2 linked regions of the Mus musculus genome follow. The protein of the gene in region 2 interacts with the protein of the main gene of each other region in a biochemical or structural test. Links are inferred from orthologs where the notes say so. Each region holds a gene or a part of one and is shown on either strand. Other genes may lie near its edges.

What was found.
Region 1: the proteins of Ptch1 (region 2) and Shh are reported together in a solved structure, tested with the Homo sapiens proteins (5 studies listed by BioGRID and IntAct, with this or other methods). The link is inferred for Mus musculus from reciprocal best matches to the Homo sapiens genes PTCH1 and SHH.

What each region holds. Positions count from the first base shown.
Region 1 is NC_000071.6:28,459,634-28,466,136, reverse strand, and holds part of Shh (sonic hedgehog protein precursor), read left to right. Parts: intron 1-613; exon of another isoform or gene 614-637; intron 638-988; exon of another isoform or gene 989-1,132; coding exon of another isoform or gene 1,133-1,162; intron 1,163-4,553; coding exon 4,554-4,815; intron 4,816-6,503.
Region 2 is NC_000079.6:63,561,366-63,568,509, forward strand, and holds the start of Ptch1 (protein patched homolog 1), read right to left. Parts: upstream 4,371-7,144; 5' UTR 4,156-4,370; coding exon 3,997-4,155; intron 2,451-3,996; coding exon 2,258-2,450; intron 1-2,257.

The sequences.
Region 1 (6,503 bases), on a different chromosome or scaffold from region 2:
AGAAAGACCTTTACTCTGAGGGAGTCTGCCCTTTCCAAGTGGAGGCAGAAAATGGAGGGAGAGGGGATGCCCCTATACACTTCAAAGGGCCTCCAGGTCACTGCAAACATAGCCTGGAGCATTTCGTCCCCTAGCTCCTACCTTTTCCTTTTCTGTGTTTTTCTCCCAAGACCACCCCACCCTTTACCCCACCACCACCAAAGAACTGTAACTGAGAAAGCCTGGGGGCAGTTCTGACAAAAGGCAGGAGCTCCAGAGGCGCCCGTCTTGTCCCCACTGTATCGCGTAGCCTGACTGCGATCCCATCGTCCTCAATTGTGCCGGTCAGAGAATGTATTGATATTTCTTTAAGGATGCTCCTCATTTCTCCAGAGCCCGCGGTACCTTAGGGGAGGGACTTGGAACTTGCTGGCTTTGCAATCGCTTTAATTTTTAACCTGCTTGCATAAGAATTAAAAGCGAATAAATATTCGGCGACGAGGGTGGATGGACAGACGGCAAAGCAAAGCACGAGCCTCTCTTCCCATCCCACCTCCTTTGAGATTTCCAGGCTGCCAATCTCCCAGCCAAATCGAGACTTTCTGAAACTCCATGCACGTATGACTGGAGCTGGAAATGGGTTTCCTTGCAAATATAGGTCAGCATCCTTTTTACTGCCCTATTAAAATATTCAAGTCCTACCTTTAGGGCTAGGTGCGCCGAGCGGCTGGCGGAGCGGCGCTGGCGGGGCGCAAGTGCAGGGGGCGGGGGCTGGAGAAAACAAGAGTGGAACAGCCCGCGCGACGCGACGCGCATCTCGCCACCGGGTACCTGCTGTATGGGAAGCCTAGGAGACTAGCCTTAGGGTGGCGGGCCAGAACTGGAGCAAAGAGGAATCGTGGAGACTGAATACAGGGCTGTTCTCCCTCCATCTTCTCCCTCCATCTCCCTCATCTGCTCCCGACCACCTTAAATCTGGACCGCGAGTGTGGGCGCGCGCGCGCGGGGGAGCCGGAGAGCTGCGCGAGCTACAGTTAACTCTGCGCGGACCGCGGGGCGCCCGACTGGTGTGGCTTGAAGGAGCGAGTTCTCTCTCTGGCTCCGGGCACCCATCCCCTGGTTGGGTGCCCCGGGGGGGGGGGGGCGTCTCAGGATGAGGAGGTCCTTGGAAAGGTGTGAGGAGGTAAAAGATTACTGATGCAAAGAGGCCAGGCGTGGACACGTAGGGTACCTCAGCCCGGATGGGTCTGCAGGGGGGTCTTCGGCGGTCTGGCTCCGGTGCCCAGAGCGCCGGGCCTCTGCGTGTCGCAGAGCTGCAAGAGCGCTGAGCCACGGTAGACGCCTTTCAGCTCCACTTACTCCTGCGTTATCGATCCCGGGACTAGGGTTGCAGCGCGCTCGGGGGTTGGGGGTGGGGGCGAGCTCCGGCGGCTTGTCCCTGGCTCTGCACGCGCGGAGCGCGCCCCGCCAGAGCGCAGGGCTCCGAGCGCGCTCTCTCCCTAGGGCGCGCAGGCAGGGGTTGAGCCGCGAGGAGTCGCAAGGCAGGGAGCCCCGCGGGCCTGACCTGGACTGCAACCCCGCCGCCTTCGCGGCCCTTCGGCCTCAGCGCCCTAAACGGAGACCACCAGTTACGTCCTTTCCCTCACGCTGATCCTTCCAGCCCGGTACCCGGGGCTCAGCGGCCCTACACCGGATCACTCTCGCCTCCACCGCCGCCGCGTGCGCGCGCGCGCGCGCGCGCGCGAGCAGCATTTGAACTTCTGACCTTCTGTCAAGTTCCTTCAGACGAACGAAACGAAAACACATACTTTTTTCCCCTGGGCAGTAGCCTTTCTGATTCCCAACCCAAAAAGAGGGGGTAGAGACAGCAAAAGTGGGGGTGGGGAAGGCCAAGCCAAGGATCTTCTCACCCACCCTGCAAAAATCCACCAAAATAAGGGTGGCTGTAAAGGTGGCCGTCCAAAAATTTCCTCTTAGTACAACCCTCGGCGGCTTCTTATTCCGGCTTGGCAGAGTTAAGAGGGGATGGGAAGGAAGAAGGTGGCCAGACGACAAGACTAGAGGTAAAGGGTGAAGCGGGGTGGGGGAGGGGATAGGGGGGAGAACCTTGGGTCTCAGGAACCTGCCATTGGTCGTCCCCACCCTCCTTTAACAACCACCTGGTTCGGCCCAAGGTGCCACTCTCTTCAGTCTCTCCTGCCTCCCAGTCTGTTTCTCTAAGGTGACTGAGCCCAAGTCCCTCAACCATGGCAGGACCGTCCCCAGTGGAACTTTCTGAGCAGTTCTGGATCGCAGGAGCTCCTAGTTAATATTAACTCCGGAGAGGGAAGCGCAGACAGACACTCTTCCAGCACAGTCCAGGCCCCAGAGAGTGCCAGGCTGTTGTGCCCGCGGCCAAGGGGCTGGGGTGGGAGGCAGCGAGGGGCCTGATCTGCAGGCTCTGCAGGCTGAAGTGGGAGGGGGGAACACCTGAAGAGCCAGGTTGAATAATTTCCTACGTGCTTAGGGGTTAGTCAGGAAAAAGAGGCCAGGTGTGGGTTTGAAGAATAGTTTTCTGCTTTGAAGAGTTGGGTCTGTCCCCGCCCCCCAGTTAGGGGAAGAGTGGAGTGCATTTAGAGAACGGAGTCTCTTGAAGTGAGACACCACCTCCCTCACAATATGGGGAGCCCATCTTTGGATGTGACAGCCCCTGCTCTGAGCCCCTGGACTGCACTGGTGTAGATCCGGGAGGTGAGCTGGAGGCTTCAGGAACAACTTGGCCTCCGCAGACACAAAGCTGGGCCCCAGTGACCCTGCTGGGCTTCACGGTGGCTGCACAGAGTCGGGCTTGATTAGCGGCACACGACCCAATGAATTAATAACCGGGCTGAGCTTCAATTGCCTTGCCTGCGACATTCCCTCCCATCGCTGGCGGGGAGTACCCTGAATCTGCCTGCTGAGCTGCGCTGGGCCTGGTGCCGGGGAAGACTCTGGGGCACCAGGTACCAATTCGGTAACCATCAGAGTTGGCCTCTCCGCGCCTAAAGCCTGTCTCGGCCCAGAGCTCCTTGTCTGGGGTCCCCCGTGTCTGCTTTAGTGGCGCCGCTCAGGGTACTGGGCTCCAAAACCCTATCCATCCTACCCTCGCTCTTCCCTACTGCCGGATGGGAAGCTTGTTAAAGCCACATCGCAAGCTTTTCCCTCACCCCATTGAAAGAAGGGAGCGAGGTGAAGTGCAGGCTGGAATGAAGAAGGAGATAAGCAGAATGTACCACGGTGTGCGCCTGCGCGCAGCGGCTCTGATTCTCTATTCTAAACTGACCCTGGTTCAGTGACTGATTTTCATGTAAAACAGATTCAGTCCCCCAGATTGAACTCCAACTCGGTCCTTCGGACTTTCCTCTTCAGGAAAACCGCTGGCAGCCCAGAAACCTGCCAGAGCGGACCTGTTGTTACTGCATCCCTTCCATCTGTTGTGCTTTGAACTCTACAGCCCTGTTCTTGGGCCTTTTTGTTGCCGGAAAGACTTTTCCTGACACACACACATTTCTCTGTCCATGAAGGACTGAGCTGGCTACATCTAGAGCCCGGTCATCTAGGGGCTATTATCCCATCCCTGTAACCTGAGGGATCACGGGTTATCAGTCCTACCCTCTGCAGAAATTACTCCTGCCTCTACAGAGGTCCAGTTCTCTGGGTAATGTGCTCTTACCATGTTGTCTCCGCTCACAACCCCCAATCCAGCATGCCACCAGCCGCAGCATAACCTTGCAAGCACTGAGCTAGCCATCCACCACACACACTTGCCTCCTCTCTTTAGGACATCCGTTTCTTAATGTGGCCCCAGAGTAGTGCCTCCACTATCCCAAGTTCCACTGTGTCCTGCAAGGGAGGAGGCAGAGTCACCAGACCCTCTCTTGGGCAGGGCTCAGAAGCTGTGGGCTTTTCTGGCTCCCCATCCCCCTACCTTTCCCACCCCACCCCCATCCACTTGTTAAGTTTGCTCTTCAAACTTGCCGGACACCATTCTATGCAGGGCCAAGAAAACAAGAGGGGAGGAAGAGAACTAGTCAAAGAAAATAGGAACACAATCAGGCCCCAGACAAGCCTGGCAGAGAGGAGCTCCTTGGGGGAAAGAATGTGGCTGCCTAGACCAAGAATGTTTGTCCTCTGCCCTGCCTGTGCTGGACACCAGCATTAACCTGCTTGCTTGTCCTTGACCCACTGCCTACCCCTCAGAGTTGCTATGGGTTTCCTCAGGCCCAGCAGGTATAAGGGAGGCCTGACCTCCAAGATAACACTCCTGCTGCACTCTAACCCTCAGAGTGTGCCAGAAGTCCTGTCTCACCAAAGCGCACCTGGAATCTCATCTAAGGAGAAACCCCTCTTGTTTCTCAGGCCATTATAGCTACATCTAAGTTTCTGAGTTGGAGACAGGTGGTCAGTTGGTTCCCTGGAGAACCTGCCTCTCCAGCAGCCGCCATGCCCCACCCCCATGTTCTCATTCACTCAACCCCTGGGTCCTGGGCCTGTGGTTGGTGGAGAGACCACCAAGGACCATGTCTGACACTTAGGGTTCCCCCTTCTCCCCACAGAGGTGCAAAGACAAGTTAAATGCCTTGGCCATCTCTGTGATGAACCAGTGGCCTGGAGTGAAGCTGCGAGTGACCGAGGGCTGGGATGAGGACGGCCATCATTCAGAGGAGTCTCTACACTATGAGGGTCGAGCAGTGGACATCACCACGTCCGACCGGGACCGCAGCAAGTACGGCATGCTGGCTCGCCTGGCTGTGGAAGCAGGTTTCGACTGGGTCTACTATGAATCCAAAGCTCACATCCACTGTTCTGTGAAAGCAGGTAAGTGAGCCTTCTCCTCCTGGCCTTTCTCCATCATCCTCCCCCTCCAGCCTCTCCCACCAGAAGGTCTGGAGGAAAAACAGAGAGGAAGGAAGAGCCATAAAAAAGGGAGGAATGCTCTTGAAAATAAGTAGATCTCGGTGGTGGGGACATAGCTCATGACCCCTCCCCCAACCAGGTACTTCTGCAACCTTTCAGGCTACTGGCCAGCAACTCTGCATGGTCAAATTCCCAGACTGGTTTGTTTCCAGAGCCCCCTGCTTCAGGTAGTAGAGACAGAGGATGTCAGAGAGCATTGTGGAATGGGGGGAAGGAGGGGGCTTCCTGGTGATTACAGATATCAGCCAGAGCTTGCCTTGATCTCTTCTCTCATTTAGGGCTTAAGAACCTCCTGCCGCCCCTCCCCCCAACCCCATGAGCAGAAGGGTCTGTCCAGGGCATAAACCCGGGTACTGGCTCCTCCCTGCTGGGCGCCTGTGGATTCTAAACTAACTTAACTCACTCGCTAAGCGTGTGTTGGGAAAGGCCTGGTGGGAGGTAATGAACTCTTTACTTCCAACGTCGGGAGACCGCAAGCCTAGAAGCATCCGTTCTTATTAGGAGCCCAGCTGGGATTCAGAAAGTCCCTGGCAGGATTGCTGAAGGCGATCCCGCTGGAGCGGCTGCCCCCCAGCCAGCGCTAGGCGGAGTTCCCTGGGCCTGCAATGCCACGCGCTGTTGGGGGGTGGGGGGGGGGAGGTGGAACAGCTAGAGAGGCAGACAGCCAGCCAGCGCACGTGCAGTGGCCTCTATGAATTGTGTTGCCTGACAAGGCAGCTCACGGTGACTTTCCATAGACTTCTGTCCTCCCCGAGGCCCCCCACCCCAGCTTCTCAAGTTTCCTAAACTGTATATTAGCGACACAATTTAGTTGGAAATAATTTCAACGTCGAGAAATACTGAGTAGGTGATACTGGCTCTTGCAACAATAGCTGCCAATGATGCACAGGAGCGGTGGTGGCCTGTAGAAGAGGTCAGCTTCAGGAGTTCCACCTCACCAGGCTCCTTGCAGGACCCTGGTTCGGGAGCTCCTATTAGGCTGGGATGGGAAATACAGTTGGCGGGCCCAGGCCCTAAGTAAGCTCTTCCCTGGACCTTAAGTCTGCGCTGAACACGCAAGACTTCCCTGCCATCCCTGTTCTCGGAGTCCCTCTGGTAGGAATTCCTAGGGGATATCCTCCCAAATGAGCAGCGGTAATCCAGCCCGGAGGGTCTCGAAGGCAGTGCAGACCCCGGCCGGGGAGGGCAGCTCATTGGCATTCTACACACGCGGGCTGGGGCGCCGCGCCTTGTGTGTCAAGCGGGGTCGTGCGACTCGACGACTCCGGCTCGCCAGAGCCCCGGGTCGCATTCCGGGGGGCTACGGAGTGCTTCCAACGGCCAGCCCCACACTTCATGCCGGGGAAAACGATGAGAAGATTAAAAGCCTTCTGTAATTCCAGCAGAAAGATTCTTTCTGGCAATCTCTATTTGCCAAAAGCATGATCCTGGAGATTGGAATGCAAAGAAGACTAGGACCTCCCCACCCCTCCTCCCTGGCCCCCTGCGCTCCGCCCCATCCTCAATTATTGTCCTCCCGGACAGTGAGCCTTGGAGAGCTACGGAGGGCTGAGTAAAGCGGGTAGTCAAGGGGCCTTGAGAACCCGCGC
Region 2 (7,144 bases):
TTATTGACTTGTAAGGTAAAGTGTTAGGCCCAAGAACCAATGAGCCATACTAAAATGGCAATGCAGAAAGGAGCTAAGGCCTCTAAGCCTAGCCAGAGTTGGGGTGTAGCTCAGAGAAGGAGGATTTGCCTAACATGGTGGTGCCCTAGGTTCCATAGCTGTATTAGCAGAAAACAAACAAACTATCAAGATACCAAAAGCAGGAGGGGGGAAGTGGGTAGGGGTGGGTGTCTGCCTCAGGTGTGTCCTCCTTACTGAACATCTTCCACTTAGACAGGTGGAGTCGCTCTACCTAAGTCTTTCATCATTCTTGAAACAATGTTAAGAAAACTCTACTACCTCTGTAAGCTTGTTAAAACTTATGGAAACAGCATCTCCAACTACTAAAAACCAAACTGTTGCAAGGCCATGGTGCTCATCAGCCTGGAAAAAGCCAACTGTGGAGCCATTAGCTTAACTTCTGCTCTATAGTCTTGCTGGTCAGTTTCTGTGCCTAGGACCTTACGTTCTGCTGGTTAACTTAACTTTCCAGGACCTTGCAGGGGGTGGCCTGTTCCCGCCAATACTCTCTTGCTTCCTGTCTCTCCAGTACCCCTGCCTACCTCAAGACATCTACTAAGGCCTTTTTTTCTCCTAATTTAACTTTCATGAAACAGTTCAAGTGGGAGCCTATACTCAGTGAAAATGCATTGAATTCCTGTAGTCTGAAGCACAGGGCACTGTGCAATGTCTCCATCACAGTGCCTAGCACAGGGTCAGGAACACTAGAGATACTAAGGAAATTTGTTGCCAGGGACATAGTCAGTGCTCAATAAAACTATTCTCTGAACTACCAATGACAAGGAAGCAAAGTGGGGTAAATTACCTAATGGAATCAATCCAAAAGACACTTGTATTCATTAACCAAGCTACTCAAGGCAGGAATGTGCTCTGCTCTTAAAGATTAGGATTATTATTTTGTTACTTTCCAACTAAATACTCCACCACTAGTTTTGCAAAAATAGTGAAAGCTAAGGTAACAGAATATTCTGGAAGGTTAGTTTCCAAGAGCATCCTGAAACTGGTGACCTAAGAAATTACTCATTAACCCTGGTTTCAAAATTCTGTCCTGGGTGGCTTGCAGTAGGCATGTACCAAATATTTGGGGTTGAAACATCTGCCCAACTACTCTGATGCTCAAAGCAGTGTTTGCCAGAAGCTAAAATGTTTTCAAACAAGGGGTTGGTACTTTTCAAAGAGATAACTGAGACACTAACAAAGAACGAAGGAAAAAAGAAAGCCTAAAATCACAAAGAGCAAAAAGATTCCACGGTGGTGGGGTGGGGAAAAATGGAAAACCTATTTTCAATTTACAAGTCCTTTTATAAAGCAGGTCCCCAACCCCTCCCCTTCCAAATCGAGGCACTTGGATAAAAGACACACACACACACACACACACACACACACACACACACCGAGGGAAGCTCCCGTGGCCCCTCCCATCAAACTTGCTTTCTTTTAAAATACACACACACTTGCAAGCTTAACAAATGCAACCACCCCCAAGAATAATTCCATTTAAAAAGCCCCCCCACCCGCGAGAAAACATTAATCTACTTTGCAAACATGCGTTCCAGTTTGTGCTTTACTATTTTTTTCAACTCCCCCCACCCCCCTTTGGTACCTTGAGACAAATGTTTTTTTCCCCCAGAGTTGAAAGCAGTCCAAAAACAGGACCACACACGCGGCCGCCTCCGCAGGCCCGCGAGGCGCCCGCCCCCTGCGCGCCCCGGGGGCGCGCACACTCCCTGCAGCCAGAGGGGTGGCCTTGCCCTCCACCCCCCTCTCCTTTCACCGCAGACACAGTGGGTGGGTGGGGGGTGGGGGTAAAGAAGCCGAGCTCAGGCTCCCGGATCAGAGAGGCCTTTCCCGGGCCGCGGCTCCCGGGCCAAAGCCAGGCAGGCAGCTGTGGCGAGCTTCGGGGACCACCCCCACGGCTCTGCGGAGTGGTCCGTCCCGCGCAGGGCCTCTGCGCCCCCGCCACTCTCTCCCACCACACCTAGCAAAGCGCAGCGCCCCGAGTAGATTACAGCGCGGCCTTTGTCGGGCGGGCCTGGCTACTGGCCAGCCATGCAAACAATAAACAGTCGCCCCTGGTGCGGGCAAGGGCTTCTCGTTGGCTACAAGGAGGCTCTAGGTGCATGCTGGCAAATATCTTCATCAAACACAGTAAAGGGAAGGAAGACGAAGGACGCGCTAGCGGCGCCTGATCGCTTACCTTCCACCCACAGCTCCTCCACGTTGGTCTCGAGATTAGCTGCCTTTAATCCCACAGCGAAGGCCCCAAATATGAGGAGACCCACAACCAAAAACTTGCCGCAGTTCTTTTGAATGTAACAACCCAGTTTAAATAAGAGTCTCTGAAACTTCGCTCTCAGCCACAGCGGCGCTTTCCGGCCAGTAGCCTTCCCCTGGGGACGAAGCAGAAGGGAGGAGTGAACGCCGGGGAATCGCTGTCCCCCGCACACCCGCCCGGGGATCCCCTCTGGACAGCAGTGTGGGGCGTGGGCGCCCGCGGCGCAATGCCTCTCCCTCGGACTGGAACCAGGACCATCCAGAGGAAGCCCTGGGGGCGTGGGGGCCTTGGTTGTAAATCAGTGAGACTGCAGCGTGGGAACTGTACTCTAGGGACCAGGGGGCGCCCCCACGCGTGGCCTGAGCGCCAGTCCTGAATGAGACTTGGGGTGCTGGGGAGAGAGGCTAACTGAGAAGCCACCACCAGCAGCCATGGTTTAGTACCGGGGACCTGGAGGGAGGGCCTGAGTGATCCTAGCCGAGAAGCCCAACACTAAAGAACCCCCAGGAAACGTCCCCCCTTCCCTAAGTCCTGCTCCAGCCTGTGGCCTCCTCCAGTGCCCCGGAGGCCGAGTGAAGGGCGCAAGCGCACTTAGGGACAATCTACAGCAACCGTGGTCCATCTGGCCCCGGTGTGGCTGTACGCGAGGTCCACGTGGTGAGCCCCGCAGCCAGAGTTCGGTCCACACTCTTTTCCACAGCCTTAGGAGACACCGCGGGAGCTCAGTTAGGAAATGCGGCAGCCATCTACAACTTACACTATTTGTGCTCGGAAGAGGGCGGCCACAAGGATCTTTCCTCCCTCTCCCATTCCCTCCTGGTGAACTCTTTAAAATAGCCGAGTGCACAAGGAAGAGGCCCAGGCCGGCGCCGGCGGGGGTCCTGGCTGGGCGCAGGCTGCTCTCCGGGCGGCGGAGCCCGGGGTGCTGGCCAGGGCCCCTGCGGGCCCCAGGCTAGGTGCTTGCCTTCCCCGGATTCCACACATTTCAGCCAGCCTCGTAAACACAATGAACCCGGCCGTTCCGCACACCCGTACCGAAGATTTAAGGTGGCAACTTGTTTACAACTGCCCCCCTCCCCGGCAGGCTGGGAGAAGAGGCGGCCCAAGACCTGGAAGAGAGGGGACGTCCTCTCCCGAGAATAATTTTTAAGGGAGCAGAGATTTCAAGCTCAACGAAAGCAGAACCGGCTGCCAAAAAAGGAAACCACCTTTACTTTGGCTCCCTCCCCTCTGTCTCTCTCCGCCTCTCTCCACTCCGCCTCCCCCTCAAAGAGGTTAAGAAATGTGGCAACGCCGAACTTTAGGCTGCAACCGTGGGCAGGGGCGCGGGAGAAAGGCGCTGGGGCCGAAGGCAGTGCCGCATTGCGGCCGCCCTGGAGGTGGTCCACTCAGGACGGTTTCCAAAGCTCCGGAAAAGGCACACCAGGGAGGGCGTGTGCGCGCGCACACACCACACACACGCACGCACACACACAGGCACCCCTCCACCCCCTGCGGACCTCAGACAGCCCTTTCCTCCAAAGTCCGGAGGGAGGGTTTGAATTTTTCAACCTTCACTTGTCTGCTGCTTTCTCAGGAGTGTGTGTGTGTGTCTGTGTGGCAGGGATCCCAAGGAGGAAGAAGAGGGAAAAGTGAAGAGGGAGGAGGGGACAGAAGTGCACCTTGGAAATCTGCTCCAGAGCGAAGGCGGCGTCGCAGTAGCTGGGCCGGTGCAGATAGTCCCGGTCCGGCGCGGCGCGGTGCGGTCCCCCGGTCCGTCTGCGCCTCCCGCCGCCGGCCTGCCTGCCCAGGGCCCCGGCGGCGTTACCAGCCGAGGCCATGTTGCCGCCGCCGCCGCGGGCTCCGGGCGCGCCTGGGCGCTCGGCTCGCGAGGACGCTGCTGGCCGCCGGGGACTCCGGCTCCGGGTGACAGACCCGCTGCTGCCGCTCACACGGCGGGCGCTGCGGGTGCTGCGGCCGTGGCCGCTGCCGGGGACTCAGACCCTGCGCCTTCCATTGCCACATTGCGCGTGAGTCCCGAGGTCTTTGCGGCCGCCGCTGCCCACATCCAGCTCGCGGGAAGGCGAGAGCCGGCGCTTCCAGGGCGCGCCTCGCGGTCCCCAAGTCCCCCCCAGACGTCCCCGCCCCGCGCCGCGACCCCTTCACGGCAGAAGGCGCGCGCAGACCCCCGCCGCTCGCGCCGGCTCCCTCGGCGCCCGCTGCGGGCGACGCGACGGTACCCGGCGAGTCTCAACGATGCCGGGCCGGGGCTGCCGCTGCTGCTGCTGGTGCTGCTGCGGCTGCGGCTGGAGTTGGCGGTGGCGGCTTCTGAAACGGCTGGTCGCTCTCTGGCTGCTGGGTTCGCGGTGGCTGCTCGGTCCCGGACTCTGCTTTCTTGTTCTCCTCACCGACCCGCTGGACCATTCTGCCCCCGCGCCGCGCGCTTCTTTCGCTACCGGGACCTGGGGACTCCGCTCTGTGTGTGTGCAGCGGGCAGCGGCCGCAGCAGCTCCTTGACTCAATAGATGAGATGGAAGAAGAAAAAAAAGAACTCTCTCCATTTGGAGAAAGAGGAGGAGGAGGGGAGGGGGTGGAGGGGGAAAGAGCGAGCGAAAGAGAAAAAGGCTGGAACTCCCGCCCCCGGGGCTGTCAGATGGCTTGGGTTTCTGCAACGCGATTGGCTCTTGGAGGGCAGAAATTACTCAGCAAACATGACTATTATTAGCTGCTTAGCAACAGCTCACCAAAGTAGAGAGACCACCCAGGTAGGCAACCCCCGTGTGTGCATCCCAGGCTTGGGGGTGGGGGGGCGCTCGCTCAGCGCCAACCCTCTCGCATGCAATACTTCCATTAAGGAATGCTCCCCCCTCCTTTCTTTCTTATTTCTTTTCTTTTCAACAGTGTCTTCTTTTTCGAGACGCCTTTTGCGAGCGCGCGCGCACACACACACAGACACACATACACACGCACACACTCACACGTACAGGAGCATTTGCCTCGCAATAGACATGAGGGATAGGTAATATATTTTTTTAAGCGCTTAAACAATTTCTGAGATTCCTCAAAGAAAACCCTTTTAGAGGCACTTTGGCCTCAAGCTGCAGCAAATACTGGGAGGTCCGGCTTGAATTCCCAGGCCTGCACCAATAATGACAGGGTGGTGGATAGTGCGCCAGTGTGTGCCAATTTTTTTTTCTCCTCTTTTCTTTTATAACCAAAGGCAAGACTTAGACTCTCGCAGGGAACAACGCCTCGTATTAAGATAAACAAAATGGAAAGTTAAAGAGGCGAGCAAGGATGTTGGGAAAAGCCAGCCCTTTTAAAAACCCCTCTCACTCCTCTATCGCCCCCCTCCAATACACAATACAGTCCAATTTGAAAACGTCTATAAGGAGACTCCAGACAAGTCTGCTATTTTATTTGAATTTTTAATATATAAAAAGCAAATCTTTTCAGCAGGCCAGAGAAATGGAAATGAGAGATTTCCTGATATTTGGAATTCGTCTGGATCCTCATTAATTAATCACATTCTTAAAGTCAGTTTTAAACTTTAAAACAAAATAAAGCTCGATACACACCCTGTAACATTTAATAGCGTGACGTAGAAGAGAATAAAGGCTTTGATGTGGAATTCATTTTAAACAAATTGTTCATAGAGCGCTACGATTTGTCCTGATATTGTGTCCAGTGTCACCAAGACATTCAGGGGATTCACAACAACAAACAACAAGAAGAAGAAAAATGCGTAGTGGGGAGGGGAGTGAATGTTGGAGCCAGCAACAAATTAAACTGTCTACACAACTACGCTCTTTAAGAAAAAAAAAAAATAACACTTAAGAAAGCACATTCCATTCTCCAATAAGTTTTGAAGTTCCTCCTCCCCGCAGTAGACACCAGACCCAGAAACACGGGATTCTGCTACGTCCTATTATTTTTCTTTTCCGACTTGAACTGCAGAAGGAACCGGAGTAGTGAGGAGTCAAATGAACCCGTGAAATGGGGCAGTGTGGCTTTAAGATGCACACGGTGTGTGTTCATTGAAGAAAAAAAAAAAAAAAAAAAGAAGAAAGAAAAGGAAAGAAAGAAACCCAGATGGAGGGAAAGGGGGGGGAGGAGTGGGGGAGAAGGCGGAGCCTACTCCACCACGTGACCTGGACCGAGAGGCCCATGCGCGCACCCGCGTTAGTGCGCGTCCGCGCCCGCGCGTTCCTGTCTTCGGCCTGCTCGTGATGCGGACGCACAGGTAACAGGGTCCGCGCGCGAGGCCAGCACGCCCCAGCCCTCATCACAGTGCGCACAACCTTCCCTGGCCCCGGGCAGTGTGCGCGCCCTACCGCCGCGGACAGACGTGCCGGACACGCCGTAGTACATTCCTGAAGGCGGCCCGGCCCCCTCGCGTTGCCCAATGAACGCGCGGCTTCTCAGCTGCCAGCCAATGGCTGCGTTCCGGCCCTTCCATTCAGCGGCGCCGGCTGCGGTTAGACAGGGGCCGCGCAGGGGCGCGCGGCCACCGGCGGAGCACACGGCTTTTGGGGCTGGCGGTGGAGGGTGAGGTCTCCCCCACCCCCATCGCGTTGCGGTCCTTCATCGCTGCCCAGCCTGCCGCCCCTCTAGCCTCGTCTCCTTCCGGGCTTCCCTAGGACGCCTTGCCATCCTGAATCCCAAACCCGCAGAATTCGTGTGGTTCCTAAAGTGGGGTGATGAATCTGAGCGAACAGAGACCAAGTAGAAGCATTTGGGGGTGTTCACGGGGTAAAGAAGAGGACCTGGGTGTTAGGCCAGCTCGGAAATTCAAAACTTCTAACACCAGGGAGCACGTGATTTTTCGAA